4 linked regions of the Schizosaccharomyces pombe genome follow. The gene in region 4 interacts genetically with the main gene of each other region. Each region holds a gene or a part of one and is shown on either strand. Other genes may lie near its edges.

Evidence for each region.
Region 1: mutations in hip4 (region 4) and ftp105 together harm fitness more than expected from each alone (negative genetic interaction), as found in Schizosaccharomyces pombe (2 studies listed by BioGRID).
Region 2: mutations in hip4 (region 4) and spn2 together harm fitness more than expected from each alone (negative genetic interaction), as found in Schizosaccharomyces pombe (2 studies listed by BioGRID).
Region 3: of hip4 (region 4) and dbl2, changing one suppresses a phenotype caused by changing the other (phenotypic suppression), as found in Schizosaccharomyces pombe (2 studies listed by BioGRID, with this or other methods).

The regions. Positions count from the first base shown.
Region 1 is NC_003424.3:1,784,453-1,793,451, forward strand, and holds ftp105 (Ubp5 interacting protein Ftp10), read left to right. Parts: upstream 1-1,917; 5' UTR 1,918-1,985; coding exon 1,986-2,005; exon of another isoform or gene 2,006-2,047; coding exon 2,048-2,090; exon of another isoform or gene 2,091-2,152; coding exon 2,153-2,185; exon of another isoform or gene 2,186-2,253; coding exon 2,254-2,900; intron 2,901-2,998; coding exon 2,999-3,206; intron 3,207-3,262; coding exon 3,263-3,640; intron 3,641-3,739; coding exon 3,740-3,994; exon of another isoform or gene 3,995-4,046; coding exon 4,047-5,240; 3' UTR 5,241-5,903; downstream 5,904-8,999. Other genes in the region: gus1 (glutamate-tRNA ligase), read right to left, coding at 1-633; protein saf5, read left to right, coding at 6,173-6,826; mrpl1 (mitochondrial 54S ribosomal protein uL1m), read right to left, coding at 7,030-7,791; poly(A)-binding protein Crp79, read right to left, coding at 8,141-8,999. UniProt on the Schizosaccharomyces pombe protein: Required for the localization of ubp5 to the Golgi apparatus. Involved in detoxification of cadmium ion.
Region 2 is NC_003424.3:986,829-993,268, reverse strand, and holds spn2 (mitotic and meiotic (sporulation) septin Spn2), read right to left. Parts: upstream 3,065-6,440; 5' UTR 3,020-3,064; coding exon 2,980-3,019; exon of another isoform or gene 2,931-2,979; coding exon 2,856-2,930; exon of another isoform or gene 2,798-2,855; coding exon 2,669-2,797; exon of another isoform or gene 2,558-2,668; coding exon 2,476-2,557; exon of another isoform or gene 2,414-2,475; coding exon 1,744-2,413; 3' UTR 1,518-1,743; downstream 1-1,517. Other genes in the region: DNA-binding transcription factor Moc3, read left to right, coding at 1-1,517; tif308 (translation initiation factor eIF3h (p40)), read right to left, coding at 3,581-4,521, 4,701-4,807, 4,847-4,872. UniProt on the Schizosaccharomyces pombe protein: Plays a role in the cell cycle. Involved in a late stage of septum formation leading to the separation of the daughter cells. Involved in the correct orientation of forespore membrane extension during sporulation. Binds phosphatidylinositol 4-phosphate.
Region 3 is NC_003421.2:307,308-314,905, reverse strand, and holds dbl2 (DNA recombination protein Dbl2), read right to left. Parts: upstream 4,593-7,598; 5' UTR 4,368-4,592; coding exon 2,220-4,367; 3' UTR 2,011-2,219; downstream 1-2,010. Other genes in the region: msf1 (phenylalanyl-tRNA synthetase), read left to right, coding at 1-542; SPOM_SPCC736.02 (uncharacterized protein), read right to left, coding at 863-1,723; qns1 (glutamine-dependent NAD(+) synthetase), read left to right, coding at 6,425-6,453, 6,498-6,614, 6,815-7,598.
Region 4 is NC_003423.3:655,401-661,907, reverse strand, and holds hip4 (histone H3.3-H4 chaperone, HIR complex subunit Hip4), read right to left. Parts: upstream 3,284-6,507; 5' UTR 2,824-3,283; coding exon 1,807-2,823; 3' UTR 1,677-1,806; downstream 1-1,676. Other genes in the region: rrp1402 (ribosome biogenesis protein Rrp14-C), read left to right, coding at 823-1,524; hsp3103 (ThiJ domain protein, glyoxylase III), read left to right, coding at 4,800-5,585. UniProt on the Schizosaccharomyces pombe protein: Component of the HIR complex, which functions as a histone chaperone that cooperates with cia1/asf1 to promote replication-independent chromatin assembly.

The sequences.
Region 1 (8,999 bases), on a different chromosome or scaffold from region 4:
AAATCTGGTGACCACCTTACCATCAATGGCATCAGGAAGACCGATCTCGTAGTTAGGACCAGAAGATTTTTGTTTTTTGCTAATATTAACTGCCTTGGTGAATTCTTCCATGGTGACACTCACGGCATTTTGAGAATCCATAAACTTGTACCAACGAGCAAGGTTGAAATACTGGCCAGTGCGTACGGCACCAGCTGCCATGTTGTTTGATTTTAAGGCACCCCAAATAGAAAAATCAGCAGAGGTGAGGGAATAACCCACAAAAAGAGAGCGCATAATTAAATGGTCGTCTAACTGAGCAAGAAGTGAAGAAAGCTCAAGAAAGTTGTGGTTACCAGCTAAGGCAGAGGCAGTTTCCACCCAACTCTCAACCAAAGAACGATCGTTTTCGCCAATGAAAAGTTTAGGATAGACTTGAGAGAAAGTCTGTAAAGCCAACTTGGAACCGAATACAGGAGAATCAGAGCCGTTAAGCTGAATGGAGACGTTCGATTCCTTGTTTTGTTTGTCTAATAAAGCAACGTCCTCATACTTGACGGAAATGCTTCCTGCACCAGACAGATTCACATAATTTGCACATGCAACTGCACCATAAGCAATGGGCTTTGCTTTTAATGCAACACTAACTGACATTTTCCCAAAACCGGTGGTGAAAATTGTCGAACTTGGTTCGTGGTAAGTTGGTGTCGAAGTGATTTTTAGGGTATTAGTGTATGGTAAAGGTATGTTTGCAAAACACTAAAAATCCAAACCAGAAAAATTCGAACGCAGTACGAAGTTGACCGAAAAAAAAGGATTCTATTTAAGTACAAATTAGATTATAGATAAGGAATTCAAGTTCATGTCTGACCTTGATTAATTTTCTTTCCAGCATTTTTCGCTAATCTGCTAATTTTATACAGATATGAACCGAAACCGAGGGTTTCTCGTTATACTGTTTACCATTTTCTAACGTAAATCGGTATACCGATAAGAAAAGAGAATAGATACATAATAACAGAGTGGAGTTGAAACAATCAGAAGAATGGAAGAAAAGTCATTTTTTTGTTAATAATTACCTGTTAATCAGCTATAGGATTAAAGGAAAAAGTAGGAAAAATCATCTACCAAGTTAATTAATAAGATCTTTATCATCTCATTTATTTAGTTATCTTGCTATTGACAATTTTGACGATATCAAATACATATATGACATTTCAAGTACATTGAGAGTAGAAAAAGAGCACCTTTTATAATTGAAATTATTATAAATTGGAAAAAAATCTCACTTCAAAATAGATAGCTGCTTTGTTTATTTTACAGAAATAGCTAAAATTTGAATACAGCCATTTATAATGTACTTCATTGTATATAATATAAGGAACTCTAACATATCACGGCATAGTCTAGCGATTCATCTACTGAACATGTAAATATATCATTGTTTGCTTCGACAGATGTCTCATGTGGTTTTGCCGCGTGAGTTATACAGTAGATGAATTGTTTACAGCTATACAGTTTCCTTGTTTTTTTTATAACTGAGAAACCTTTGAGGTTTATCTGATGGCACGGTAATTATGAGATAACGAGTAGAAACCAAAAACTCACAAACATTTAAATGCAGTTCAGCAGGTAGCTGAAGTCTCTTTGACAAGCTGTATTTCTTCCTTAATTCTCATTTCGTGATGGTAATCAATTGTTTTCCTTACCCTGCCTCCTAACAAATTGCAGTTTGCTAAAAAGTGTTTACCAAATAGTGAGTCATAGTGCATTGACTGTAAATGTGAAAATTCGTCGTAATGCTAACGATCATTAAATGTACGGTAGAGCTAACAAATTAACTCGAGCAATAATAAAATTTCGCAATATGAAATAATGCATCTTTTGGAAACTTAGCGCGCGAATAAAGTATACACATGGACGGGTCTACTAGTACCTAACGATTATCGATGAAGCTGCAGCGTTTGTCAAGAGCACTTTACGGTTTTCGCATCTAATTAGAGAATATGGGAGGCCAAGAGTCAAAGTAAGTAACATTGCGAAATTTTCGTATGAGCTAACTGTTTAGATTGGCATTTCAGCGAGGAATTGCAAGATTAGCTTCTCAACCGGTACGGTTTGTGTTTATGGGTGGATGATACGCTAAGAGAACATTGCAAGCTAATTCTAGTAGGATATACCGTTGGATGATGAAGTTTGGGTTTCTGTATGAAATTTTTTTTATTAACTTGTGTAAGACGCTTTTACTAATGTATTCGTTTTTATGTTTATTAGCTTTGGAGTGTACCTGAAAGTTGTCCAGAAGTTTACGATTTTTTTCCCCCAGGTCTCATTCGTGAGATGAGGGATCATGCCTTTGTAAACCTTGAAAAATTGCTGCTTGTATTGACATCTCGTTTGTTTGCGTTGAAAAATGACAAAAAGTTTCCAAATCCTGAAACGGCACCAGCGAGTGAAGCGTTAAACTGCATTCGCCTACTTACTAGAATCATTCCTTTTTTGAATGAGAAACTCGATTTAGAAGAATGGCATCAAAAGTTTTGGTGGAGCCTTAGAAAGAAGAGAAATTTACCAAAGGAAAATTCCGAATTAGACCTTAGTAATTTTCAAGACGATCTAGATTTTGAAAATTCCATCTCCCAAAAGAACGAATTCTCGCAGAAGTCTCCTTCAGTCCCATTATCTCCTGTGAGCACCTTTCCTGCTTCTTCCATCTCCCTTGATGCTTCTTCAGACGTCTCTGCCGCTGACGTATCAGTAGGTGGTTCTAGCACAATCAAAGAAATTGGCTCTATTGAAGAAACTTTTACTCATGAAAAAACTTTAATGGAGGAATTGCTGGACACCGTCTTTCGTTTGCTTTTTTGCAGAGGCTTTACGCTTCCTCTTTCAAGTCCTGAGCAATATGCATACATTATATGGTAAGTATATATGTATATATATATATATTTTTTTTTTGTTTTTCGTTTGCTTTTTTATATTTGGTTAAATGCAATGTGTTAACTAATCACTTTTGCAGGGAAAATGGAATTGGTACAACAGAAACCCAAGAGAAAACCACAAAGGAACTTGCGTTTAATCGCATTGAGGTTCTTCGTTTGCTGTTAGTATTGATTTCTAAAAGGCTGTATCGATCTTCTGAAGTAGCTTCTCACACCCTTACTTATTTGACCTGTGTAGCAAATAAGCAGCTTATACTAGTTTTTCTTTATTCCCTTATAAATACTGTAAGTTTTGGCTTAAAATTTACCTTTTTTTGTTGTACAACTAACTTAGTTTTTAGACTTTGCGACTTAGACCTGATAGCTGGAAGGCTTCGTATTCAACTCTAGTACCTTATAATGATTCTAGCATTGCACTCTCAAAACTTACTTCTCAAATCCTTTTGCTTTTTTTAGATCACACCCCTCATGAAACAACAGTCGAATACTTCAGACAGAGACTCAATCTTTCTCCTGGCGCTGCTATCGAAAATCAGTATAGATTATATTTTTCTCGACTTCAATTACAAGCTGATTATGAATTTTTAGTTAACGAACTATATCGGCTATTGAATGCACCAGTTTCCGCTATCTCTGCCTATATTTCAATTGTACAAAAGCCTAATATCGCGTTTCCGGAAATTATTTTGTTTCTTTGGCAAGCAATTTTATATAATAAAGTATGTTCAACGGTCCTTTTATATATATTACATTATTTGTACAGTTGTTTAATTTATGTTGTTACGCGTTCATTATATTTGCTAACTAATTTAAAACAGCGTTTCCGAGCATTTTTGATCACTTCTCCTTATGCTACGGAGTTTTTAACTTCTATTCAGTTTTATGCACTTAGATATCGTGAAGACAATGAACATTCCGGCCTTGTTCGCATTTGCCTTTTTATCGTTCATTATTTATCATGCGAGAAGGTTCTTTGTGAAAAACTAAATAGAAACTGTATGAATGCACAATCATTGATGTCTTCCCTTGGGTTCTCAGTCCCACCAATGTCTTATGCAGAGTTTTTGATTATCGTAAGATTCACGATTAATTGTTTATTTTAATTTTATTACTTACGCCTTCCAGTCTAGCTTTCATATTTCAGCAGTGAAGAGATCTCCGTTTAGCAGTTTATCTCCTGTTATATTGTTGACCATATGCAATATTGCACCATTTGTTGAAAACCTAAGTTTCGTTACGTGTGCCAAATTAATGCAACTCTGTTCATCTCTTTCATCTCCTCGGTTTCTTTTTCGTAATCCGCGCAATCATCTGCTTCTTGAATACCTGTTACAGGCTATTTCTAGTATAGTTGAAAACAAGTTTTCTCAAAACCCTAATCTCAGTTATTCTATTATTCGCCTCCAGCAAGTTTTTTTGAATCTTAATTCTATGAAACTTCCTGCCGTTGCTCAGACTAAATCACAGCCTTTAGTGGCCCTCAATTCGGAAGGAAGTAGTGATTTTGAATCTAAATCATCCGATAACACCTCCTTAGATGGAACACCACTCCAAAATACTGACTTTAAAAAAGTTGCTACCGTTGAAGATGATTCACCTTTCGATGAATTAGATAAATTTTCCTCCCCTTTTAGTAGCAGTAGTTCACGCGGTGGCTTATCACATATTTCGAGTAGAAATGTTTCGATTTCTGTCCCGACAGTCCTTCAAGATGTATTCTCAGATTCTCCATTGGTTCTGTCTAGAAAGTTGCGTGGGAAAATACCGGAAAATGTTTCTAGTTCAGAACTTATTAAAAAATGTGCATCCAATCCGTTTGGAAAAGATTTAGAAATTGACTCAAATTTGTTTGCACCTTCCAACTCGTGGTTTAATTCTTGGCATTCAAGACTTGAATTGGATTCTATTCTAGCCATTATATCTCAGTTTTCTCTACCTGTATACAAGAAAATGAATGAAGAATTATCAACTACTGACGAAGCTGTTAAACTATTAGCTAACTCTGTGCTAAATGATGTACATCCTCGAGTTCCCAATTTTCGCTACTTTATTTGGAGTGTCCCTATGAATAATTGGTTTCAAAGTCTTGTTTGGCTTTATACTTTGTCATTTGATGAAAAAGGTTTAATGGCTACTCCCTCTTTATTTACAACCTCTAAAGTGTACAAACAACATGGAAATATCATGAAAGTTGCATCTCCTGAAAACAGTTCTAACTCAATGGAGAATGCCACAAAATCTATACTTGACAAACTCGATTTGCTGTATTTACAGCTGCCAAGTAGTGTCAACCACGATTCCAGTTTACGCAACAAGTGATTCTTAAATTCAATGCGTAAATTAAAGTATACTTTTGTCCTAAAAAATATTTGAAGAAAACCCTGCATGCATGTTATGGTATCTTACTTTGAAAATTTATTGATTAAATTGTTCACTAAAAAATTATCTTGGAGGATTTGCATCCACATACTGCCATCATTTAATTATATACTGATGACCAGAATCTTGCCTTGCTAATTTTGATTTTTGAACTTTTCGATTTGTTTTCATTCTATTAATTAACTAAAAACTGGCTTGGAGAATCTTCTGCTCCAACCTTGTCACTAGCTTTAAAAAAGTCTTTCGAAGTTTGATTTGGAAAGTTGGTGTTTGAAAGTCAATCTCGTATACTTTAGAAAGACCCACCTTTATGAGAGAAACGATCCACTGATGCTAATTCATTACATGTATCCAAATCAATGTATAACCTTATATAGCAATGAATTGGTTGCTAAAAAATTCTTAGCTTTATTTCGCTACACTTATAAATCTGTTTACTATATAAAATAAAAAATCCAATTTCAAAAGTTTTGAGTCCCAATTTTTTGGGTAACGAGGATTACTTCATAAAGACCTTAGACCTTTCCTTTATTTTTTCCACAAAACTATTTATATTCATGAGTTTGTTTTGTAATTGCAATGAATAACTAGCTTGTCATTTACGAAAATTGCATATCAAAAGTATTTGAGTAAAATCGATATCCTGTTTGGCATAATGGTTCAATTTATAAAAAATTCGTGTGGTTAAGAGTAGAAATATATTTTCGATTTTGCGAAATGCTTAATATGCGAAGATATTGTATTTGAGTACTTCAAAAGAATACAACGCACAGTAAACCTTTTCTTTCAATAAATTATCAGGTAGAGGTGGCCTTATTACTGTTTTTTAATAATTTTTATGCTTAAATACCTATTGGAAGCAAGAAGTAATTATGATTACCAAAATTGACTCACTTCCAAAGGACCTAATTCGCAAAGTTGAAAATGGTGAAAAGTTGTTGCCAAATCAAGAAATCGTTTATTTTGAAGAAAAAACAGTCCCCTATAAAATTAGAAGTGATGAGGAAAGTTTTCCTTTGGGCAAATTGATAACTTTATTAGTAACTTCACAGAGCTTTATCCTTTTTGATGAAGAACAGAATTCTGGCTGGAAAATTCCATATGAAACCATTACTCTTCATGCGAAACAAAGCAAGGATAAGCCATATGTATATGTTCAATTAGAGGGTGAAGCCATTCGACCCTTGCTAGATCACATTCTTAAATTTGAACGGTCGTCAGGAACATTGCATGAAGCTCCTTCTACCGAAGATGAAAATGAATTCACAGATGATTTTTTAGAACTAACATTATATGTTACTGATGTTGATTCATGTTACCAGGCTCTTTGTACTTGCCAATCTCTACATCCGGACACTTTTTCCTCAGATAATGATGTTGAAAACGCGAGTATGGGAAACCCTATGTCCTTATTTTTTGATCCAAATCACCAGTGGGTTACGGCTGAAAACGTAGATACCTCAGCTTGTGATAACAGATTTGATTCTCCGGAATCGCCTGTTCTGAAATGGCATCGCACAGAGTAACTTTCATAATGTTGTATTCTAACGTTTCATTCATACTTTTTAAAAAGTAGTTTATGATAATAAATAAATATAAACAGGCTTCTAAATTTACTAGATAAAATATCATTACACATTTCACTAATTTGTACAAAATTAATCATGTAATACATATTACAAATGACAAGACTGTAGACTAAATTTCCCATGCAATAACATTTTAATCATTATTTATACTGGAGAGGAATTGCAATAGCATGTGAGGCGGAAAGATGAACATGCTTTACGGTAACTTTAACTTTTCCAGGCAGTTTGGCCAAAGTAAACCGAACATTTGATACAAGTGCTTCGATGTTTTCTTGTAGCTCCTTGTCGCTGAACCCTAGTTTTCCAACCGGCAAATTTATCGAGCCTGCATCATTTTGCCGATAGTCAACAGCTGTGAGGGCAGATTCAATGAGTGGCTTCAATTCATCTGATATAGTACCTCGTTTTATTGAAGGCATAAGACGTTTTGATCCTAATAATTTAGCAACTTGTGGTAGTAATTCTGCCGAGTTGGGATGAGCAAAGCACTTTGAAAATTCAAGGGGCTCTGTTTGAATTTTTTTTACTAAGTCTTCTGCACCAACATAGGTTGCACCCAATTTTAAAGCTTCATCTGCAGCTGCACCTTTAGCAAACACACAAATTTTAGGAGGCTCTTGAAATGGATGAGGAAAGGCAATTTGACCACGAGCTGACGGAGCGCGTCGATTACTTTTTAAAGCAATTGAAAGCATATAAGACCCAACATATGGAACAGAAATGCTCACAGATTTGAGATATTTTGTGGCTTCAGGAACTGTCATCGCAAGAGCGGGAAAATTGGATTTCTTGTTTAGTTGAGAAATAAACCTTTTGCAGAAACCCTTTTGATTTTTAAAATTTAAAAATTCATTATGTGACAATAATGTTTGCCGTTTACCTAACGCTATTAATGAACTCATGGTTTTTAATCTGGTTCGTCAAACTGTCACCAAGCTACTGGATGTCAGTCAATGAACCTGCTAAAATCATAAATCTCTAAACAAATCTGATCCAGCTGTCAACTTTCGAATTAATAAAGAATTATCTTTCAAATCAAATTTCCTTATAATGTTTTTGATTAAAGACTAAAAATAAACGGTTTCGTTTAAATTCCACGTTGTGGTAGTTGTAAGATACTGTAGGGTTATACTAGCAAATCCATCCGTTCACGATGTATATATTTTAAGGAGTTAAAAGTTTGTTCATCGGAGTTTTGAGGGATATAGCATTATGAATTTTGTTTCATAGTTATATCTTCACCGCATCTTGTTAAATCTGCGTCAACTGAATAGTTGTTGGTGAATTGTTGTTAACCTTTGTTGTTGATAAAAAATTTTCCTTATTTGAATCTTTAATATGATAGGAATTCATTTTTTGGATATTGGATGTAGCTTCTGGATAGCTGTCCATGTACCCGACAAGTGAAAGCATGTTCGTTGACTCATTACAGTCCTCATCTTGGAAATGTGAGGGCTCAACTGTTACGTACGTAAGAGTTGTACAGGTTGTTGCTCTTGCTCTTGGCACAAAGTATGCATTACTCAGCTTTTTGTTGTGAAGCATGTCTTGTATCTTCTTCAAGTTGGTGGCTGTTGAACCCATCTTAGCAGACCCTCGGTTATTTAGTTTTGTGTTAGCATGGAATACCAATGGTTTTAACAAGTTTCCTTGTTCTCCGTCATGGCTCAATTTTCCTGCTTCTTTCTTTATATCCAAGTTGCCTGATAACTGTCCACTAAGTTCCTTATTTTCTTGCTTACAGTTAACATATTCATTTGTCTGACTGGGTTCTTTGTTTTCACCAGTCTTAGGCTCATTCTTATTTTCAACCTTACTTGAAAGGGTCGTGGGATTCTCAGAGATTTTGTTTGTAGAAGACTCTATTGGCTTTCGGATGGTAACAGTAGAGCTTCTTTCTGGTTTGACGAACAAAGCTTTGTTGTCTTGCTGCGCTGTTTGTTCTGAAGTAGGTTTGTTTGCAAAAAATGCTTGCAATCTACGAATTCTGTCAGACTTTCGCTCCGCGAAGCAAACGAAAATCCTTTTTTTCCCAACCATCATTCCATTCAATGTGTCTTTGGCTCTAACGGCAGCCTCTATTTGACGAAACGCTACGAAACCATAACCT
Region 2 (6,440 bases), on a different chromosome or scaffold from region 4:
ATGTTTCTTATCCCGAAATTCATATGAAACGGAATAGAACGGGTAGTATTAATTCAAATCCGCTATATATTCCCAACCCAAACGTCGAGCCTACGCCCAAGCCCACAAAAAGAAGAACGAAAACTGGATGTTTAACATGTCGCCGTCGCAGGATCAAGTGCGACGAAACCAAACCTTTTTGTTTGAACTGCACAAAGACAAATAGGGAATGTGAAGGTTATCCAAATTCAGCTGCTCAAATGCAAGCCATGGGGAGTGTATCGCCTCCTGAGCTAAGCGTTCATTCTGCTCAACAGCCATTGATACCTACTTCAATTGCTTCAAGTAGCGCTCAAACCGGAGACACTTTTTCCGGCTCTTCACAATCCAATTTTAATACAAATGATCTTAATCAGATGACCTCCTCCTCCAATTTATCCACCGTTACCCCAATCAAACAGGATCATCAAAAACCTATGAATTTACAAGGATTTCCAAGTGCTTATCAACAGCATCAATACCTTCAATCCAATCATAACGTTCCTACAAATAATTCTTCTAGCGCTACTTCGTCTACAAAACCCTCTGTACAATCGGTGGGTCAGGCCTCTTACCCTTTTCTTTCATCAGTTTCCAATTTCCCTTCAAACTTTAATTCCGAACTGTTTCCGTTTTATTTTCACGATGTCGTACCTTCTATTTGTGCATTTGAATTTGATAATAACATAGCCTTGCATTTTTGGTCAGTCACTGTTCCCCAGTTTGCTCAATCGATGCCTTGTATTGCTAATTCTTTAATGGCTTTTGCGTCTATTAAGAAGCTCGACGTTTTTGGTGCTTACAGTCATTTGACCAGAGCTCTTCGCTGTCCAATGCCTGGTCCCAATTCTTTTGAATACCTGTTGGTTTCTGCATTTTTGACTCTCACTCAGCTCAATCTCCCAGCCTATGATCTCAATTTTTGTAATAATTTTATTAGAAAGTTAAGTTGGTCTTCGTCTACCAAATCAAATTATGTCAGCTTATTGATTGCTATGGTCGTTCGTGAACTAGTTTTTGCAATTCTTCCTCGTGGGTGTATCTGGGGGTTTAATGGAAAGCCTTTATCGGAAGTTTCTGTTTCTCGAAGTCATGCACCTGTTTCGGATTCTTTGTTTACTATTGGATTGGACATTCTCTCTCAACCAACCTTGTCTGATGATTTGCATCGAGAACGAATGGTTGCTTGGCGAGATGAATATCATGTGCACTTGTATTCAGCATCAAGAAGTCCTCTTACTAAAGTTATAGATTGTGTAGGACATGCCGTTACCAAAAACAATAATGACGTTCTTTCTGGCTTACAGCAATTAATGCAAGAAGAATGCACAGATATTGCAGTATTACGCACTTCCTATTTATGCGTATTATCTCTACAAAATGTTTTTGCATCAAACTCTAAAGAATTTAAACTTCGGGCACAAATCGAATCTCATTTCGGAAGATTGATGCTAGAACATTTTATGGATTGCAATGTCTTAAATCGACCAGTACTTTAATTTTAAAATCATTTTGATGCTTTTCAATAAATATTGATATAGAACTGTATAATAGCTAGACAAAATCACGCATCAAACATATAATCTCTCGTTAATAAGATAAACACTTCATTTGTAAGATTCGCATAGTGTAAAAAGAGCCGAAATTTACGAATTACGGTACGACAGTCATACAAATGGTTTAGTCTTTGTTCTAAACATACTATATATTACCTTAGGAAGAAGACTATTGAGCGGTGGCTGTATGGAGATGTGGTTCAGAAGGGTACACAGGTGCGGGACTTCCCATTCTAGTTGCGAGGGAAGACTGTTCTTTTAAGCTGCTCAATTGCTTAAAGCGGAATTTCTCGTAATGATAGTATGAGGTCGTTTCAATTAAATCTTGAAGATGAGTTCGCATCAAAAAGTTACGAAGAAAAACAAACTCGCAGTGGTTTTCATCATCCACATTGACAACCCCCCATCTGTTTTGACGACCACGAATAGGCCTTCCATCTACGATAATGGCTTTTTCGGAACCGACCACGGCAAAAGGAATAAGATTTCGGACGGCAGCATTTAGATTAATTTCCTCCTCATCGGCGTCATCAGAATCATAAGGATACAAATTGATGTCGTGTTTAACAAATTCTTCACGGATTTGCTGCTTAAATGCTGCTCTTTCTTCAAGAGTCAATGAATCAGACTTAGCGATAACAGGCACAACATTTACGACTTCTGTTAAGCGTTTGAGGACAGCAATATCAATAGGGCGCAAAGAATGTCCAGTTGGGCGAATAAAGAATAAACAACAATGTACTCTTGTGTCTTGTAGACGTTTCTCGCGATGTGAATTTAATTCACGACGAAGATAGGAAGAGTGTTGGTCCCTAATGTACTTAATTATAGGCTCCCAGCTATTATAGTTAGAAATTGCTGTGCAGGAATAGAAATTTCCATTTCCACTGATCAAACTTACCATTTATCGTTATTAATTTGATCTCCATATCCAGGAGTGTCGATTAAATTTAATTGTAATTGAACACGGTTCTCGCGAACGACTATGTGGTTAGCAATGTAACCATAATAAATATAAGGATTGCTGACTCATTGAAGCCAGCTCAATGAGTTCAATCAAAGATGAAAACCTAACTATAAAAAAATCAACATACCTTGGCTTGTAACATGGATTTCAGTTGTCTGGCGATAAGGAGCTTGGTAATCCAGACGACCCTTACTGTCCATCAAGTGCGCAGAGAATAAAGTATTAATCAAAGTGCTTTTTCCGCTACCTGACGGTCCTATTTGAAACTGTTAACATCATTATAATTGAAAATCTGTAATAAAAATAATACGTACCAACCACCATTACATTAAATTGAAAACCACGACGAATTAACTTGCGGTTAATTTGCGAAGTGATAGAATCGAACCCTATAAACATTAGTTTTGACTCTTTATCAACATTCTTTTGTTTTCATACCCACATAATTATTTAGGGTAACTGCAGAAGGAACTTCCATTGCAAGTTGCGAATTGAATGAATTTGGAATTTGTTGGTTTTGGCCAAGTCAACATTGTAACGTGAAGCAAGTCAAAACAAACAAAAAGGTCTCGGCAATATTTACGATTTTTTTTTTAAATAATCTAACAGAGAGAAAACAAAATTTAACAATATATTTTATTAATAGAAAAGTGTTTCGATGTTGTATAAGGGCCCGAAAATATATTAAATTAGCAATGTAACCTAAAACTCGAATACGATAAACAAGTAGATTACCAGCAACTGAATGCACTATTGAAGATTAAACTGTTTCTTATAATTACAATCATGGTATATTTTTGCACATTGTATTTCAACAAACCAATATGCTGTATCAAGAAAACCAAAACAACTTTTATAATTAAGTAGATCCTTTTATTTTAATGCTACGAGGTATAACTAGTGAGAGTGAAGAAGAATGCTCCATTTTTTATAAACAAATACATGCAACCGCTTCACAGAGATCAAAGTCCTTAAAAATTTTCAACCAGATTCACAAATAATTAGCGCTAAATTTAAGCGATTATTACCAATCAGTAGCTTAAGAAGCATAAGCGTTTCGTACACCGGCAAGCTTAGACAAGAAAGCAGAACTTTGTTCATCTATTTGAGTAGACTTCATAATTTGAGAGCTAATCAATAGAGAGTCAAGAAGTCGAGGCTCCGCAGGGAGCTTGAAGATTCGCTTCCAATCGTCTAAAGGTAAAGGTTGTAAATTTTCGGCAGCACGATTTGCATTTTCGGCCTTACGCTTAGCAATCCACTGTTGAATTTTAGCTTGCTCTCTTGCGAGTTGACGTTGATGAAATCCAAGATTTCCTTGCTCATAATGAAACTCATCAGTAGACTCCAATAATAACTCAATATTCTTTCTATATCTGGTACCCAAACTAACCTCAAAGTTACTGAACGTTTCAGTCAAGGGTAAGTTGCTTTCACAATCTTCAAGAGCAGCTTCGGCGGTTAGGGTAGAAGCTGGAGTAGGAGGCTCACTAAGAGAGTGGAGCAAACAGGTAGCCAAATGAGAGTTGTGAATAACAATAGGAAGTTCACGGATAACATTGGAAGGAGTCAAGTTGTGGCTATTGAGGGAGGAGGCGGTCCAAGTTTTTTCCTCATGGGCAGCCATAAACTCTGGAGTTAACTGATAAGCACGCATGTACAAAGTTCCATTAGAAGATTGAGACAAATCATAAAGAAAAGCGATACTGTTGGGGTTTGCCTTTTGATAAGCATATTGCGTTTCTACAAAAAAGGGGCTACTTAAGAATGAACTAACATAGGCTCCCAAATACCAACCAACGTGACCAGTAACAGCACCAATGTACTGAAGACGATTAAGCATCGCCTCAGTATGAGCTTGGCGTGCTTTACCGGAAACAGACTTGTTAACAGCAGACTCTTCATTTTCAAGAACAGACGGAGACTCGAAGCTGCTACTGACTTGTAAAACACCATCAATGTCAATACCAACAAGCTGACCTGAACGAAAGTTAGTTAAAAATATTATTTCAAGAGAGAAACTGTGGTTGATAAGAAATTTCACTAAGTAGAGCATTACTGAGCTGACAAATGCATAGCTGCATCTTTGATGCAGAAAAATTGCAAGTTTTATCATTTCGAAAAATAGGGAAAACTTATTCTCCAATGACTACACTTACCAATTGTTCCCATATTAGGAAAAGAATCACGGCAGTGCTTGATGATATTCATTACAAGTAAAGATTCTAATTCCACCCGCTCAATAGGGGGAGACTCCAATTCTGGACTACTGAATTAGTTATTTATATATCTTAGTCATTCTTACACATTCAATGAAGTTGTATCAGACATGTTTTTTAAGTCTGCCAAGTAGTTGGTTGAAGTGCAAATTGCTGTACGAACTTCTAAAGGAGTTAGTGTTCACCAGTTTAATGACAAGTAACAACAAGTAGCAACTTTTTAAAGCCATGGCTGTCGGCGATTACAAGTTATAGAATAGAGGAGCCTACCAGTTTTATTAAACCTTTTCTAACTAGTTAAAAAATTTGTAAATTTTTTTTTTGTTTTCTCGGCCTTAAGCTCTATTTTCATGACTTCTTTTACTAATTTACCGAAATATGATTTTCATGCTTATTGTAATTTAAGAGCAGCTTCACCGCCTTGCAAAGTCTTTTTAATATAGTGTAATTGACACTGCATTATACTTGAAAGTTCAACATTATTCGTTGATTGGAAATGAATGTGACTGCTTTTCCGTTATATTTACTATATATACGGGTCATTATCCTCAACAAAACACTATCGACGATACTCCATAGGATCATTTCTATAGTATACGTCCGGCTTGGGTTTCCTAACCTAGCCACAGAACTCAACACGGATGATGATAGGAGGCACCGTTGCCCTCAGAGTGAGGACTTTTAATTCTTTGAAGGCATGCTTTTCGATTAGGTTTTTTACCTAATTGTTTTGCTGTCTTTCTATGCGATGATCTCTTACATGATATGTTTCCTTTTGGTCGTATTATGTAGGGCAGCTGGTGTTTTCTGACGTGTTTAATTTCATCTATTATATTACAACTGTGGTGTCGTTTGATGACATAGATGTAATTTCTAGATGAAGTTGTGTCATGTTTTAGCGTAGATTTTAGTGAATAAATGAAACGATTTCAAATTCCGTTAGATTGTTTGATTTATGTTTCTTATTAAAGGAGTCAATTGTATGGTATTTGGAGTTAGATGGATAGCTTACTTGGCGGCGTTTTTTATTTAATATTGTCTGCTGTACATTCGTTAGTAGTAAAGTATTACACGAACGTTTCCACTCAATTGGAAAGTCAAGTCCATGCTTTGTGGGAGCAACATTGATCATGTATGTTTATGTATTGCTAGTTTGTTTATAGAATAACGCAGATTACGGAATCACGCTATTTAACGTCAAAACGTCAAGAAAGGTGTCAATTATGCTCGTTGTCATGCCAACGTCATTGTTTGCGTTTTTTCTTTGATGATTACTTTGTTTATTGTTTTCAGTTGAAGATTGTAAAAATATCATTAGCTGAACGTTGCTTTAAAGGTGTCTTACGTGAATATATTAAGGTTACTTTATAACGGCGTTGTATATTCATTTGTTACTTATTTACCGATCCTATGTTGATGCCGTACTTGTTCCTTGTGTAGGAAAGCTGATACCTATGTACGTACGTATTGCTGTTAGGCGGTTCTTTTATCCCACACCTCTTCCTAAGAATAGCTACAAACATTACCAACTTCATATTAATTCATCAATACGATCTTGAAACTTAGAAGTACTTCTAAATTGTCTTTTCTTGTCGATAGGGCTCGTACATTTGAACTGTTCTTGCTGGATCGTTTCAGATCAAAGCTGATCATATTACAAAGAACTCACGCCTTTACTAG
Region 3 (7,598 bases), on a different chromosome or scaffold from region 4:
ACAGTTTCCCCTTTACCAAGCCCTCGTTTCAGTTAGAAATTGACTGGAAAGGAAAATGGCTTGAAATATTAGGATGTGGGGTCGTCCAGGATAGGCTGCTTAAAGGTGCAGGATTAAATAACTACATTGGTTGGGCTTTTGGAATTGGTCTTGAACGTCTCGCAATGATTTTGTACGGTATTCCTGATATTCGGCTTTTTTGGTCACTGGATGAACGATTCTCGAAGCAATTCTTGCCTAACAAGATTAGCACTTTTAAGCCTTTTAGTAAATACCCAGCATGTTTCAAAGACATTGCATTTTGGATCAATAATGATTTTAATCCAAATGATTTTTATGAGATCATACGGGATGTCTGTCAAGATATGGTAGAATCTGTTAACTTGATTGATCAGTATACTGCCAAATCTGGAAAAACGAGCTTGTGCTACCGAGTCAATTACAGAAGTATGGAAAGATCCCTTAGAAACGAAGAAATTGACAAGCTACAGGAAAAGCTTAGGAACCGAGTAGCTAATTCTTTGAGAGTCGAGCTCAGATGAATGTGCGTACATACTAATTTTAAAATATGTAAAAAGCTTAATAACATGCACACATGCGTAAAATAATTCCATGTTATTCCCTCTCAAAATTGAAATGTTATCTCGTATGTTTTTGACTAAACGAAAGAAATAACAATTTTGGTTTTTAAAAAGTTATTTTATTGAATCTATTTGAAAAAAGGAAACAACGCATATAAAAAGGAACGTGAAGATGAATATTAAATACCTCGAATACAAAATTTATTTTATAGAACGAGATGCAAATGATATGATGAATAAGATATAAAAGCTAGAGCAATTTTGATTACAAACTTAAGCATTTAAAAAAGCTTCAAAAGGTTAGGTAATTGAGGAATTGCACCTTTTTCAATCAAGTAGTACATGATCTCTGTAACATTTTTTGAAATTGCTATATCCACAAGTCTCGTTAGGTAAGAGTCAATAAAAGATTTAGAAAATCTTTTTTCAATTATATTGTTCCAAAACCCAAAAACTATATCCAAAAGTTCCACCGAATTTTGCTCCATTGTGTACTCGAACCAGGTGAGGAAACAAAACTCAACTTCATCATCAGGTATAGAAATAAGTCGTTCAGTAACAATTTTACCTACTTGACGAATAACTGGTATGTTCCGTTGTTTTAATGCTAGCAGAAAACCATTTCTAAGAGAAGAAGCTTTAAACAAAAAGTTGCGATGTTCCAGCTCTGCAATGAAATCTTCTGCATTGGGTAAGAAAAGAATACGTTTTGGTATAAAACCTTCGTGTCCTGCATGTATAACTCGACCATCTTTTATATCTTCATTAGGGCTTTTTTTAACAAACCCCGAAATGACTAATTCGTCAATTTTTGTAAGGATTTGAAGTGTAAAATACCTGCGTAGCAATCCACGTTGAATAGAGAGAATGATGCTTTTGGGTACCATTGAAAGAGTAAAATCAATAGGCATGAAGATAGGCGTATTATTCCTTAAAGATAATCGGTGTCTCAAACTACGAGAAGTCACTGCCAAATTCGAATTATTGGATAACAAAAATATTAATCTTAAAACTTCTAAAGGTAAAGACTCAAAAACCGTTAACGCTCTAGCTTTTCCATCAGTCAAATTATTTTTGACCTTTCTTTTCGTAATTTTTTCATTATAGTCATTTTTTATGGTCTGTTTTCGCTTTTTACCCATCTTTAACAAGATTTTTGGAGCTCACCAACAGACACTATTTAGTGCTGAAAAATTTAAACATGTATAGAAAATAAATGACTACAAAAGATAATTTAACTTAAAATATTTACAACATTTTCATAATAACCCAAATAGTTGGTTTTTTAAAAGAAAAGAATAAATCTGATACTTATTTGCTCAAAGGTTCAAAGAAGAAACTCAAGGTTTTGAAAAAGCAATGTATGTGCTACTAAAAAATGAAAATCAAAACCTAGAATTGTACTAACAACACCAAAAACAAGCTGAAATCTAATGTTTAAAAAAAAAAAATTAATTATATGTAAAAGAGCTAAATAAGTATAGCTAAAACCTAAATGAACTATGGAAAAATAAATGTTGATAATAATACATGAAGGAAACCAGAAATCAAAATTCAGTACTGTTTTTTGAATTAAAAATTATATGTAACAAAGTCGGCTTGAGAGAGAAGTTTCAACGTACGAAAGAAAAATTAATTTCAAATAAAGTCACCATCTTCGTCCGAATCGAGATCGCGTCCTTGTGTAGTCATGGCATGCTTAAATTTTAGCATTTTTAACTTTGCCCTTTTGATCTTGCTACTCGTTGAAGCAAGTGTTACTGTATTTACAAATGGCAAATCCGTAATGTTTGACGAAAAAGGCTCAATAGGTAACGAACAAGACTCTTGAAAAGTTGGTAAAATAGGAGATTTCTTTCCCGCTTTAGAAAAAATATCCGGAATTTTGGTAAGTATTTTCGGAGGCTTTTGGTTTTTGCTGGGTGAGAGATTTACAGCTCGAACAGTAGGCGAGGATGAAATGGTATCCGAAGGAGAAGAGTCCGTTTCAATAGCATTAGGAACATTTCCTTTTTTCTTTTGGACTTGGTCCGAAGAAGAAACAGTAAACGAAGGGACATTAAAAGGGCTAGAAAATACCGACACATTTCTGGATTTCGAGTTTTTAGGCAACGACGAATGTTCCCCTGAAGATATTATAGAAGTAGCTCCAAAACCGTCTTTTCTTTTCGAACCATTTGCATATTTAGGATATATCAACAAGCCTGTTCTCAGCGATACACCTGAATGTTTGGCCAAGGAAGGATGTTTGGCATGTTCAAGCACAGTAGAAGGTGAAACGTTAGGATTGACTGCATTGTTGGATTGTAGAAAGATTGAAGAAGAAGCACTAGATCCATTAAGTTCGTTTGAGCGAAGGGACGTGCCTAAGTGAGAGTGACTCCTACCAAACGAGGACGAAGATGCTGGTTTAACTAAAGGAGATGAAAAAGACGGTACACGAAACTTCACGGGTTGAAAGGCTTTTTTGTTGGGCAAAGCCAAAGGTGTTAAAAGAGATGACGAATCTAGCGAAGGAATGTGTTCATCCTCTTCTGATGCTGCATCTAGAAAATCAGGAGAGTTTGGTATTTCATTATCAGTTGTTTCTGTTACATTTTGAAGCGATGCCAGCTCGGCAGCAGTTTTGACACTTCTTTCGTACAAGTTTTTTGAGGGGTCGGTAACTGTGATATTAATAAAGTTTTGTCGTTTCCCCGTGGGTTTCCGAAGCAGAGGTAACGGAAGGCGAGTCAAACGGAGACGTTTAGAAGTAGGACTGGGTTCTGCAACAGAAGAATCTTGTCTTTGATGATCATCATTTAGCCCATCGTTTTTGTTGGAAGGTATGGTATTACAAGCGCGGGAAGAATGAGGAGATCGAGCATGATTATTAGAAACTTCTTCATTTCCATTTTCTAATGCCTTCACGGAGACACTTACGTTATCATTACTTAGGTTTTGTAACAAATGACCAGCATTTGAATTATTTAGAGTGGTAAAATCATCTGCCTCGAGATCGGCAGAAGGGGAAGAAAAAAAGTCAGAAGCTATGTCGTCTTCTCCAAATTCTTCTACAGGATCTTCAACCAAGGTGCCATTAAAAGACTTGGGTTTTGACAAAACAGGGATATATGCAATTTTCGAAGGTTTCGGTAGCGCAGTTACGGATGAGTTAGATGGGGGATAGGGAGAGGTATTGTTAGCTCGATTAGATTCCTCAACAGAAGAAGCTAGATATGAGTTTGGTCTAAACTTAGCTTTGGGTTGTATTTCCGGTGTTACTGACAGTTGATGCTTACTTGAACATCTCAAACTACCAATATCTGAGTCATCTACTCCATAAGATTGCAAATTTGCGTTCCGGAAGATCGTGGATTTTGTTGAATTTGTATGATGAGCGTGTGTTTTTAACATATTTGACGATAAAGCACCATTTGAATTGTTAGATACATCTGAGTTAGCGGAGTGAAATGGAGGCTGGAATGGTTTTAATAAATAAGCTGGCCTCTTCCCTGTCTCACTCAATTTTGATTTCCTCGGTATAGGTGGAATATTCGCTTCAGTAGTTGTTTGTAAATTCTCAACGTAAACAATAGTTCTATTAAATTCAATTTCAGAATCCAGAACAATTCTCTTGTTGTTAAGGAAAAAATCATCTACGACTCGGTTATCAGAATCGTAGAGAATTCCACGATTATTGAAGCTGTGGAAGCGCATTGTCCCATCTTTCCAAACTTTTACTTTTTTTGCTTTATCAGACGTCCACAATACTTGATAATGAAAAACATTGGAACTTGTATCCATAGAATATAAGTTTTAAAGCCTGTAAAGGCAGTTCCGAAAGGTGGCTTACGAAAAGCTTAATATTGTTGAAAAAAACTCACAAACCACCCTATTTAATAATTAATTAAAGAATAAGAGTGAGAATATCTATTTCATGTATAAACCTCATTTGAGCATTAATTGCTCTCGCTTTAGGAATGGGAATTACGTGCTTTTGTTGGATGGTAGTTAGGAAATGGTTGGTATACAGCAGAAAGTTGAAATCTAGGAAAGTAAATGATCTCAAGCCAGAAAATTACATCTTTGTAGAATCCTTAAACAAGGTTTCCTTTTCTTTTCTTTTTCTTTATGAACTACAAACGAGTTGAGCTTTTGGTTATTGATATGAGGTACTTGTTTACACGCCGAAATGATTGAAGGTAACTTTATAATACGCAAGCAGAAGCAGATTATCTCTTGAGATGGTTTCAAGAGAGATGCTTATTTTTATTAATTTTACTAATCTACAAGGTCTAATATTTGATGGGTTTTTCTTTAGTAAAAGGTCTCTTAGTGCCCAAGGAAGCAAAACTGTTAGATAATTTTCAATATCCTGTATCGAGAAACGGAAACAATGGTTAATAATCCCGATTGATAGTTTCATAGGGACAGACTGTGTGTATACATAATGATATATAAAAAAAGATGTCTTTTTTCACCTTAAACCATGAAGTTTACAGTTGAGCTTACAGAGGCAGATTGCTTCAAATATTCGTAATGTAAAATTATTTATCTTGTAAATTTGTATCTATCGTCGCATTATAATAGAGAATCTAAACATAGCAGTTGGAGATAAAACTGATTCTTTTGTTCTTCTATCGCTTTTGAGGTTTGCAGGCAAGAAAATTCATCAAAGATGATTGATGATACGATTAGGTGCAAAAGTACTTATGTTATAATTTTAGCAACATAAAAGGCCTATAGAGGGTAATTCTGCTCGAAATCTTGAACTTGCAATTCTCATCACCATGTCGAAGATAGGTACAAATTAAGTTATTAAAGTTGGTTTAAGCGCACTGATAGAAATTTACCTAAAATTTAGTACTTGGACGAAATTTAGGAGAAAAAAGCCCAAGAAGATGAAGAAAGTTGTTTCATTGTAATAATAAACCTGAAATCTTTTGTCAATTCTAATTAATACCCTTTCAAAAAAGAAGACTGATCTTTGCAATCACTAAAACTATTAAATTTATTGAGCAGCTGAAGAATCATCTGTCTATAATTTGCAACAAGAAGTAACTGAAGGGGAGTTAAAAAATGAGTATCAACCATTATGGCATCTGTCGCTTTGCTTCTTCTTCTTTAAGCTAAGTAATTTCGATTATATGCTCCAAGAACTAAGTATATTAATTAAATCATGAAATATTTTCAAGGATAAAATTAAAACAATTTTGTACTATTAAAAAAATGTAATTACTGTTGTGCGTATTCCAGATATCAGCTTGCTCTATAATCATCAAAAAACCTGTAATTATAAGCGAGTAACACTAATAAAACCAGACAGACTTTAAATCAAAAAATTTCATTTATTAGCTCGTATATCTGAAAAAGATAGGCAAATTTTTTTATTAAAGGAAGTCCCAGAAATGACTTCACTTGAGAAGATATATCGCTAAAACTAGAATTTGTATTGCAATATCAAATAAAAATTACAATTATTCTGATTTTATAAATCAATTTTTAAGCTATGTAGTAATGTACAATTAATACACATGTAGTTAGAAGAGTCGCCAAAATTTGCATAAGAAGTATTAAGGTTCTTTTTACTAATATCAGAGAGGGTCTTTAAAATTATTTAAATTTTCTTTTTCTTACTTAGGGAAACTGGCATTTTTGCTATATGATGCGAACCCTTTATTTACACTTGACTCTACTATGACAACTACCTCCTGCTCTTACTTACTGCCATAACCGTGAATAGACATTTGAATAGAAACTTCGATCTTCACTCATAGTTGGAACTTTTATAGTACGAAAAAAACATTATAAGTTAAATTACTTGTTTGGGAATAAACCTCAAGTTAAGCATTCAGTTCATTATGGAACGATATGTAACCATCGCATCTTGGTATGCTATAATCATTTTTCGTCTCAATGATCTAACTTCTGTAGTCAGCTGAACCAGTGGGCAATGGACTTTGAGGGAAACCGTCTACGCATCATTGATTCCATCAAAGAGGCGAAAAGACAAAACGCAAGCCTTCGTGTTGGTCCAGAATTAGAAGTCACGTATGTAATAGAAATGGATTTAAATGTTGCAAGTGTATCAGTGAATAAGCTAAAGTTTAAACTTCATGAAGGATAGCCATGGTCAAGTTTACTGAGTGCGACTTCGGTTGAGTTTATTCATCTTCTTGCAATATTGAAACTTGTATTTTACCTTGATATTAATTTTATGCACTGTAACTTTCTATTAACAAACGCATTAGAGGCTATGGCTGTGAAGATCATTTTCTAGAAAGTGACACTTACTACCATAGTTGGGAAATGTTATGTTCGATTATTCACGATCCTGATTGCCAAGACATTCTCCTTGACATCGGTATGCCTGTAATGCACAAAGCCATGCGTCACAACTGCCGTATTCTAGCTCTAAATGGAAAAATCTTGTTAATCCGTCCCAAGATTTGGCTTTGTGACGATGGAAATTTTCGTGAGTCTCGTTGGTTTACTCCCTGGTTAAGGCCAAGAGTTGTGGAAACTCATTACTTGCCTACTTTTGTTGCAAAGTCTTTAAACCAAACAACCGTTCCTATTGGAGATGCCATTCTTCAATGCAATGAAACCGTTGTTGGTGTGGAAACCTGCGAAGAGCTGTTTACTCCAAATAGTCCTCACATTGATATGGCTTTGGACGGTGTAGAGATATTTATCAATGCGTCAGGATCCCACCACGAACTTCGTAAACTAACAACAAGAGTAAACTTGATACAAAATGCTACGGAAAAATGCGGTGGGATTTATCTATATTCTAATCAGAGGGGTTGTGATGGTGGTCGTCTCTACTATGACGGTTCATCAATGATCTTTGCGAATGGAAAAATGCTAGCCCAGGGACACCAGTTCTCCTTGAAGGATGTTGAGGTTATTTCAGCTACCGTGGACGTTGATACTGTTCGTTCGTATCGTTTCCAACCATCACATGGAATCCAAGGTGTCACTAGACCATCTTATGAACGTATTCATGTCAATTTTAGTCTCAGTAGCTATCAA
Region 4 (6,507 bases):
AGAACCCAACATCCGTCTTTATATTATGCGAGGCTGCTTCTTGATAAAATCCAACAACTGAAAACAATCTTGTTCCTCTTGGATAAGGGATATTCTTAAAACACTCAATGCTTGCGTATCATCGCATCCCTTCCAAATACATTTGGTTCAGGTATTTGTTTACATCGTCTTTAGCCTTTCCAGTATGACTGTGGAATCAAAGTCATAACGAAAAACATAGAAAATTATTTTCATAAATGTTTTTTTTTACAAAATAGAGAAACTCATAAACGCGGAAATAGACTATTTACTCTTTCCAATATTGTGGCTTTCTGCGCGGACTAAATACAAATTACCCTACCCATTATCTCGCTTAACGGTATGCACCTTTTCATTAAACAATAATAACGGCGCGTAAACTTTTGGTAAATACAATAACGTATTACGTTAAATTTCGAAATAGAGGTTTTCTTTCAGTCTTTTCCACACTACAAGTACATGTCTTTATTACAAAAAGGCGTTCTTTCAATCTTGAATAGCCATTGAATCTTTGTATTACTTTAGCTTTTTTTCCCTTTTATTAAGTTTTCTTTCAAAGCAATTGTTTTTGGATTCGCAAACTCCATATTATCGGGTTTCTCTTTTTTTGTTCGTGGGTAATTAGGCTTCATTTTATTTATTATCAATCATCAATTCAAAAGTTTTTTTCGTTTAAGAAATTTTAACATCCCTTTTCTATTTTTATCGGGTTGTATCGGATTTTGTTTATTAACCCAATTCTGATTGTGTATTTTCATCCTCTTTCTCCATTATTTGTGATTCCTCCTTTATCATCGGTCTGTAATGGAAACAACTGAAGGAAAAAATGACTTACGAGCAAAGCTTGCTGAAAAGATTCAGACATTTCGCTCTCAAAGAAAAGCTACTGAAAAAGTAGACCGTGCTCTACTTTTACAGCGCAGAAAAGAAAAGGCAAAAGCTCGTGCTGAAGCGAAGAAGTTAGCTAAAAAGGAGTCAAAGGCTAAACAGGAATCAAAAGTGGCAGCTTATGACACTGGGAACTCTTCTGATAACATTGCTGACGAGGAAAATGACAACCACAAGAGCACTATTACTTATGGTACTTTAATAGTCGGAGATGACAAATTCTCGAATGGTAAACTAAAAGTTGCCGGAAAAAAGCGAGGTCCTACTGATGTCTTTGGCGCTCTAAAGCATTTGGAAGCCAAGAAACGCCGTATTGAAAGCATGGACGAAGAGAAAAGGAGAAAAATTGAAGAAAGTGATAAATGGCATAGAGTTTTGCTTCAGGCAGAAGGGAAAAAACTCAAAGATAACGAGCAATTGCTTAAAAAGAGCATTCGTCGCAAAGAAAAGGAAAAGAAAAAGTCTTCAGACGCTTGGAAGGAAAGGAAGGACAACGAAAAAAAAGCAATGTTAATGCGGCAGCAACGTAGAGAAGAAAATTTGAAAAAACGTAGAGAAAGTAAAAAGTCTAAGAAGGGGAAGGCACCAAAAAAGAAGAAGCCATCCAAGAAAAAATAGACGCTTAACTTTAAATTTGTTCAAAAATTATACTGGTCTGTTGGGATTTAATGGTTAACAAGGAGGTTTGGGTTTAAATAGCTTTTTTTGTCATTTGATTATGAATGAATACATAAATTTACTCATACAAACAGTAACACTGAAACAAAATTCTGCCTTAAAAAAGAAATAGATAATCAATGCGGTGTGATGATAATTGCTTTTTATTAACGAAAAAAATATGATATAAAAATAATATACAGAAATCGATTGACAGATCTTCAGGTCACTACATATGTATAATTATGGGATGCTACTAGTTGGAATTGATTTCTCTGGTTCAGCTTGATGTTCATCAACGGGTAAGGATGCATTCTGAGAAAGAACGATGCTTACTTGTTGAGTAGGTTTCGAAACGACAGAAGCATTGCCCTGATCAATAGGTAGGGAGGTCGAAGGTTTGAGTTCCTCCGTAGAAGGATTAGTTAAAGCACTTGGAGGAGAAATGTGCTCATTAACAGTAGCGGGAGAATGCTTTGGTTCAGAGAGAGGTGGTATAGGGGGTGTAGATGTAAGAGGTGTCTCAAGTTTAACAGCCTTTTTGGTATTTTCTCCCGTACTTTGTTTGGGCACTGAAGAGGATGTCTTTTTTGTGGCTTTCTCTTTGCTTTTCGTTGTTTTTGCTTCCTTCTTAGAGACATCCTTGGGAACCTTTGCATTTTCCCGTTTTGCCTCTTTTAAAGCATTCTTAGCAGCCATTTCAATGGACAAAGTCCTTAATGGCTGCTCGTCCTCAGATTCAATATCCCTACTATCGTCAAAGCTAGCATCCGCTGAAGCCACCACCGCAGAGACAGCTGGCGCAGGGTGTGTAGCATTGGATAAAGATGTTTTCTTCTTTTTCTTAGTCTTCTTTGATCTTTCGATTTTCACAGTATCTCCTTCGGCCACGAGTGGACCGCTAAATACAAAAAATCCATCTTTGGTAGCGGCAGCCTTCTCTTCAATGTAGAGCTCAGCATCATCAATAAAGGGATCTGTTCTATCGTAGTATTCGTCAGCGTACCTCCTTTTCCTTTTCTTTTTCTTTATGGTCTGTGTACCATCGGCCGCCCCATTAGCTGCTTGTTGCTCATCAACATGTGTACTTTCGCCCTCAGAATCCGCTGAGTCTGAAAGATCATTTTTTTTTGAATTCTCCTGAACAGAGGGTCCATAAAGTTTTTCCACTTCTTTTGCAAAATTAATATGTACGTTTTCTTTGCCTTGCAAAGGAATTTCCAAGCAAATAATTCGTTGGTCGCCAGACAAAAGCGACATGACGAACAAAAGCGAAGTATAGTGAAAACGTAGAAGAAAAAATTTGCAAGGAAAAGTAATCCTAACAAGCGAAAATGGTAGTTTTAATTACAATTGAGTCCAAGACTTAGTGCCGTCGTTTCACTGAATCCAATGGATAAGTTAATAGAAATTTTCAATTCAAGAGCACTCTTAACAATTGAACAAGGCTAAGAGTTGATAGCATTAAAGAAACAAACTGCAGACCAAAAAATGAGAAATTGGACGCTTGCACTTTTTTGTAACTGAATAAATGATAAGTTCTGCGACGCTGCGTCAAATTTCTATAAGAGAGTGCAACAACAAGTGATTGAACTAGAAGCAACAAAAAATGCAAAGTGGTTAAATGATAAACAATAATTTGATTAGGAGGATGGTAAAGTAATACTTTATTTGGTAATAACTTTGAAACGAGTACGAACAATTCCCACAGTATGGGGATAGATCAAGTAAATAGCACGTTATAATGCAACTTATACTGAACAACATTAGCGCAGCAATCCTCACTTTCTTAAAAGTAAAGGGCAAAAAAGAATGCTCCTGGTGAGGCTCGAACTCACGACCTTCCCCTGTCATTATATGAGAGGGATGCTACCACCGACTGAGCTACAGAAGCTTGTGGTACACAGAAAAAAGTTACATTATATATAGGGTAAATTTATTAATTATATGAAGAGATAAATTATCATTTCTAATTACTATACGTATATATGAGTTTGGAGATTTTCAATGGAAAGAAAGGAATGAAAATGATTAATTGATCTGAATTTTTTGTTTTTAAGGAAAACTTTATTCATGGAAATTGGGTATTCAGTTGGCATTGCTTTATCAATACTCCACTACTAAGTAAAGAAAACTGTTCATGTGTGCACAGTATCATGACTACAGAACTGTATGAATGGGAAATTGTCATTTTAATCATTTAAGCTCTTAATAAACAAATTGTACTCAATATAAGCTTACTTCTCATAATCATTTCTCCTAAATAGCTAGCTGCTCCCCAATTCGTTATTCCCTTTCTACTGCAGGTCGCATTCATTGTAGTATAGACATTTGCGACTCTATCGAAGAATAAAGTCATAACATCCTAGGAATTTTTTTTCAACGAATATTTTTATTCGTAATTTTCTAGATTACAACTCCTGATCTACCAAGGCAAAAAGAAACCATCGTTTGCTTTAGTGCCAACAAAACATATACAGCAGTGGTTTATAGTATATTGTGGTTTTCGTTACAACTCACCATCCTTTTATTAAAAATTTAGCAGGAAGTGGTAGTTAGTTCATTTTTTTGATTTTTAGAAAAATTCATGTCGAATACACATTTGTTAAAGAAAGTTAACGAATTATTGATTCAGCCGGTGAACCAGAAATTACCCGACATCTCTTTTTCTTTCGTTGTGTGATTATAACAGTGCTTCAGACATATTTTGTTCGTCTATTATTCGACTTTTAGAATGTAAACATGTGAATACGCAAACCTGCTATTGTACGAGGAATTTATTTGCTCAGTGTACGAGACCCTGGCCTTTTTCATCACTAATACTTGGCTACGCATTGCTCCTGCTGTCATACGGAATTTCGAACAAACCAGATGCAAAATGCATTTCGTAGCCACATTACAAGTTTAGGGGTGAATTAGCAAAAAATAAGTCGTTAGCTATATGAACTTGCTGCATCTAGAATACCAATAGGCAATGAAAAGAGCTATGCCGTCTAAGGAGAAAATTTCTGTAACTGACATGGAAATAATTAATCAGTGGACGTTGCACTTTACTTAATGTTTACGTAAAAAACCGATAAACGAAAATTTATCGAAGAAATACTAATATTTAGAGTCCAAAAAAAAGACATAAAAGGATGGTCTTCACCGAAAATCCAAACAATTTCATCGAACTCTTTCTGTCTTCAAGGAGTTATACATTGTAAAGCACTATACAAACTATTTTTAACTCAAAAATGCCTGCTAAAACTAGAAATGTCTTAATTGCTTGCTCTGATTATTATGGACCATTTTATAAAGATGGTGAGAATACTGGAGCATTTTTTTTAGAATTGTTACATCCTTATTTGGTATTTAGAGATGCTTGTTTCAATGTTGACATTGTTACTGAATCAGGGAAAATCCAATTCGATGATCATTCAGTAGCAGGTCCGGCAATTGACAAGGGATCTAAGGGTGAAGAGTTTTTGAGCTATGATGATCACATCGCAAGTGGCCCTGAGCTATCCAAAGCTGAAAAATATGTTTTGGAAAATAAGGATGATATGTTTTGGAGGATTGTGCAAAATTCCAAAACCGCCGACGAAGTGAATCCTGACAAGTATGACATTTTCTTCGTAGCAGGAGGACATGCCACTCTATTTGATTTTCCAAAAGCTACAAATTTGCAAAAACTTGGTACTTCCATTTATGAAAATGGGGGAGTAGTAGCTGCCGTGTGCCATGGTCCTACATTACTTCCATTCATGAAGCGTCAAACGTCCGACGGCTCTGTTTCAATTGTCTGTGGTAAAGATGTTACCGCCTTCGATAGGGTGGCCGAGGATAAATCCAAACTTATGGAAGCGCTGAAAAAATACAACTTGGAGGTTTTGGACGATATGTTGAATGATGCAGGAGCCAACTTTATCAAGTCACCAAACCCATTCGGTGATTTTGTAATAGCAGATGGAAGATTAGTTACTGGTTCCAATCCTGCAAGTGCTACATCTACGGCGAAAACGGCTTTGCGTGTTTTGTAAAGCGAAACGATAATAAAGCTATTGGATAATGAGTCTTTTTAAACGATTAATTTGAACGTATGATGAAATTTATGTATACAGGAAAAATTAATGATGCGAACATAATTTGACGCCGATGAATAATAACACTCAAAATCATTGATGATATTTAAAGTGGATTACATACACTAGAAATGAATAAGATTGAATATATACTATAAAAAAAAATTTGTCAGAATTTTTCAAAAAAACGATTTCACATTTATGAATCTATATTGATATATACTTTCATTCATCTGTAAATACAAAACACCGTAGCAACAAGCAACAGTACCACAAATCGCTCCTTCGAACACTTTCAAGTTTTTCTGCCATGACCTTCTTTATGGAAGACTTTTCCATCTATACTTATAAGAACATCGCCTCTGAATAGATACAGCTACTTATTCAACTGAAAAAGAAATTTACATTTCTTTAAAAATTGGGGAATCGTTTAATATTTCCTAAACTTAGTTAACGTAAACGAGCGTTTGCAAAGCCTAAACTCGGCTACTGTCATTGCCGGTTTTTTTTAGTGACACGTTAGATTGCAGTATCATTTGCATTGCATTAATTATAAGTATAAACAGTATATTTAGATAACCTCGAAATGTATATATTTATGTATCACGGAGATTTTGTTTAGTATTATAATCTACGTAAGACCACGGAAAGCAAATTTGTTTGCATTTTAATCAAAACCATTTTTATAAATAGAAGCAAAAATGTTGTTTAAATGTTCATTTACTGCATTATTAGGTACATTCCCATGGAGTGTCTGGCTATAACGATAGATAACGCAATTTACCACAGTTCTTTGAAGCACTGTTGGCAAATTTACGCTGAGGTGGGCTTTTAAATTCGTTAAATAATTTAAGCTCTTAAGTTTGTAGATCCCTATACA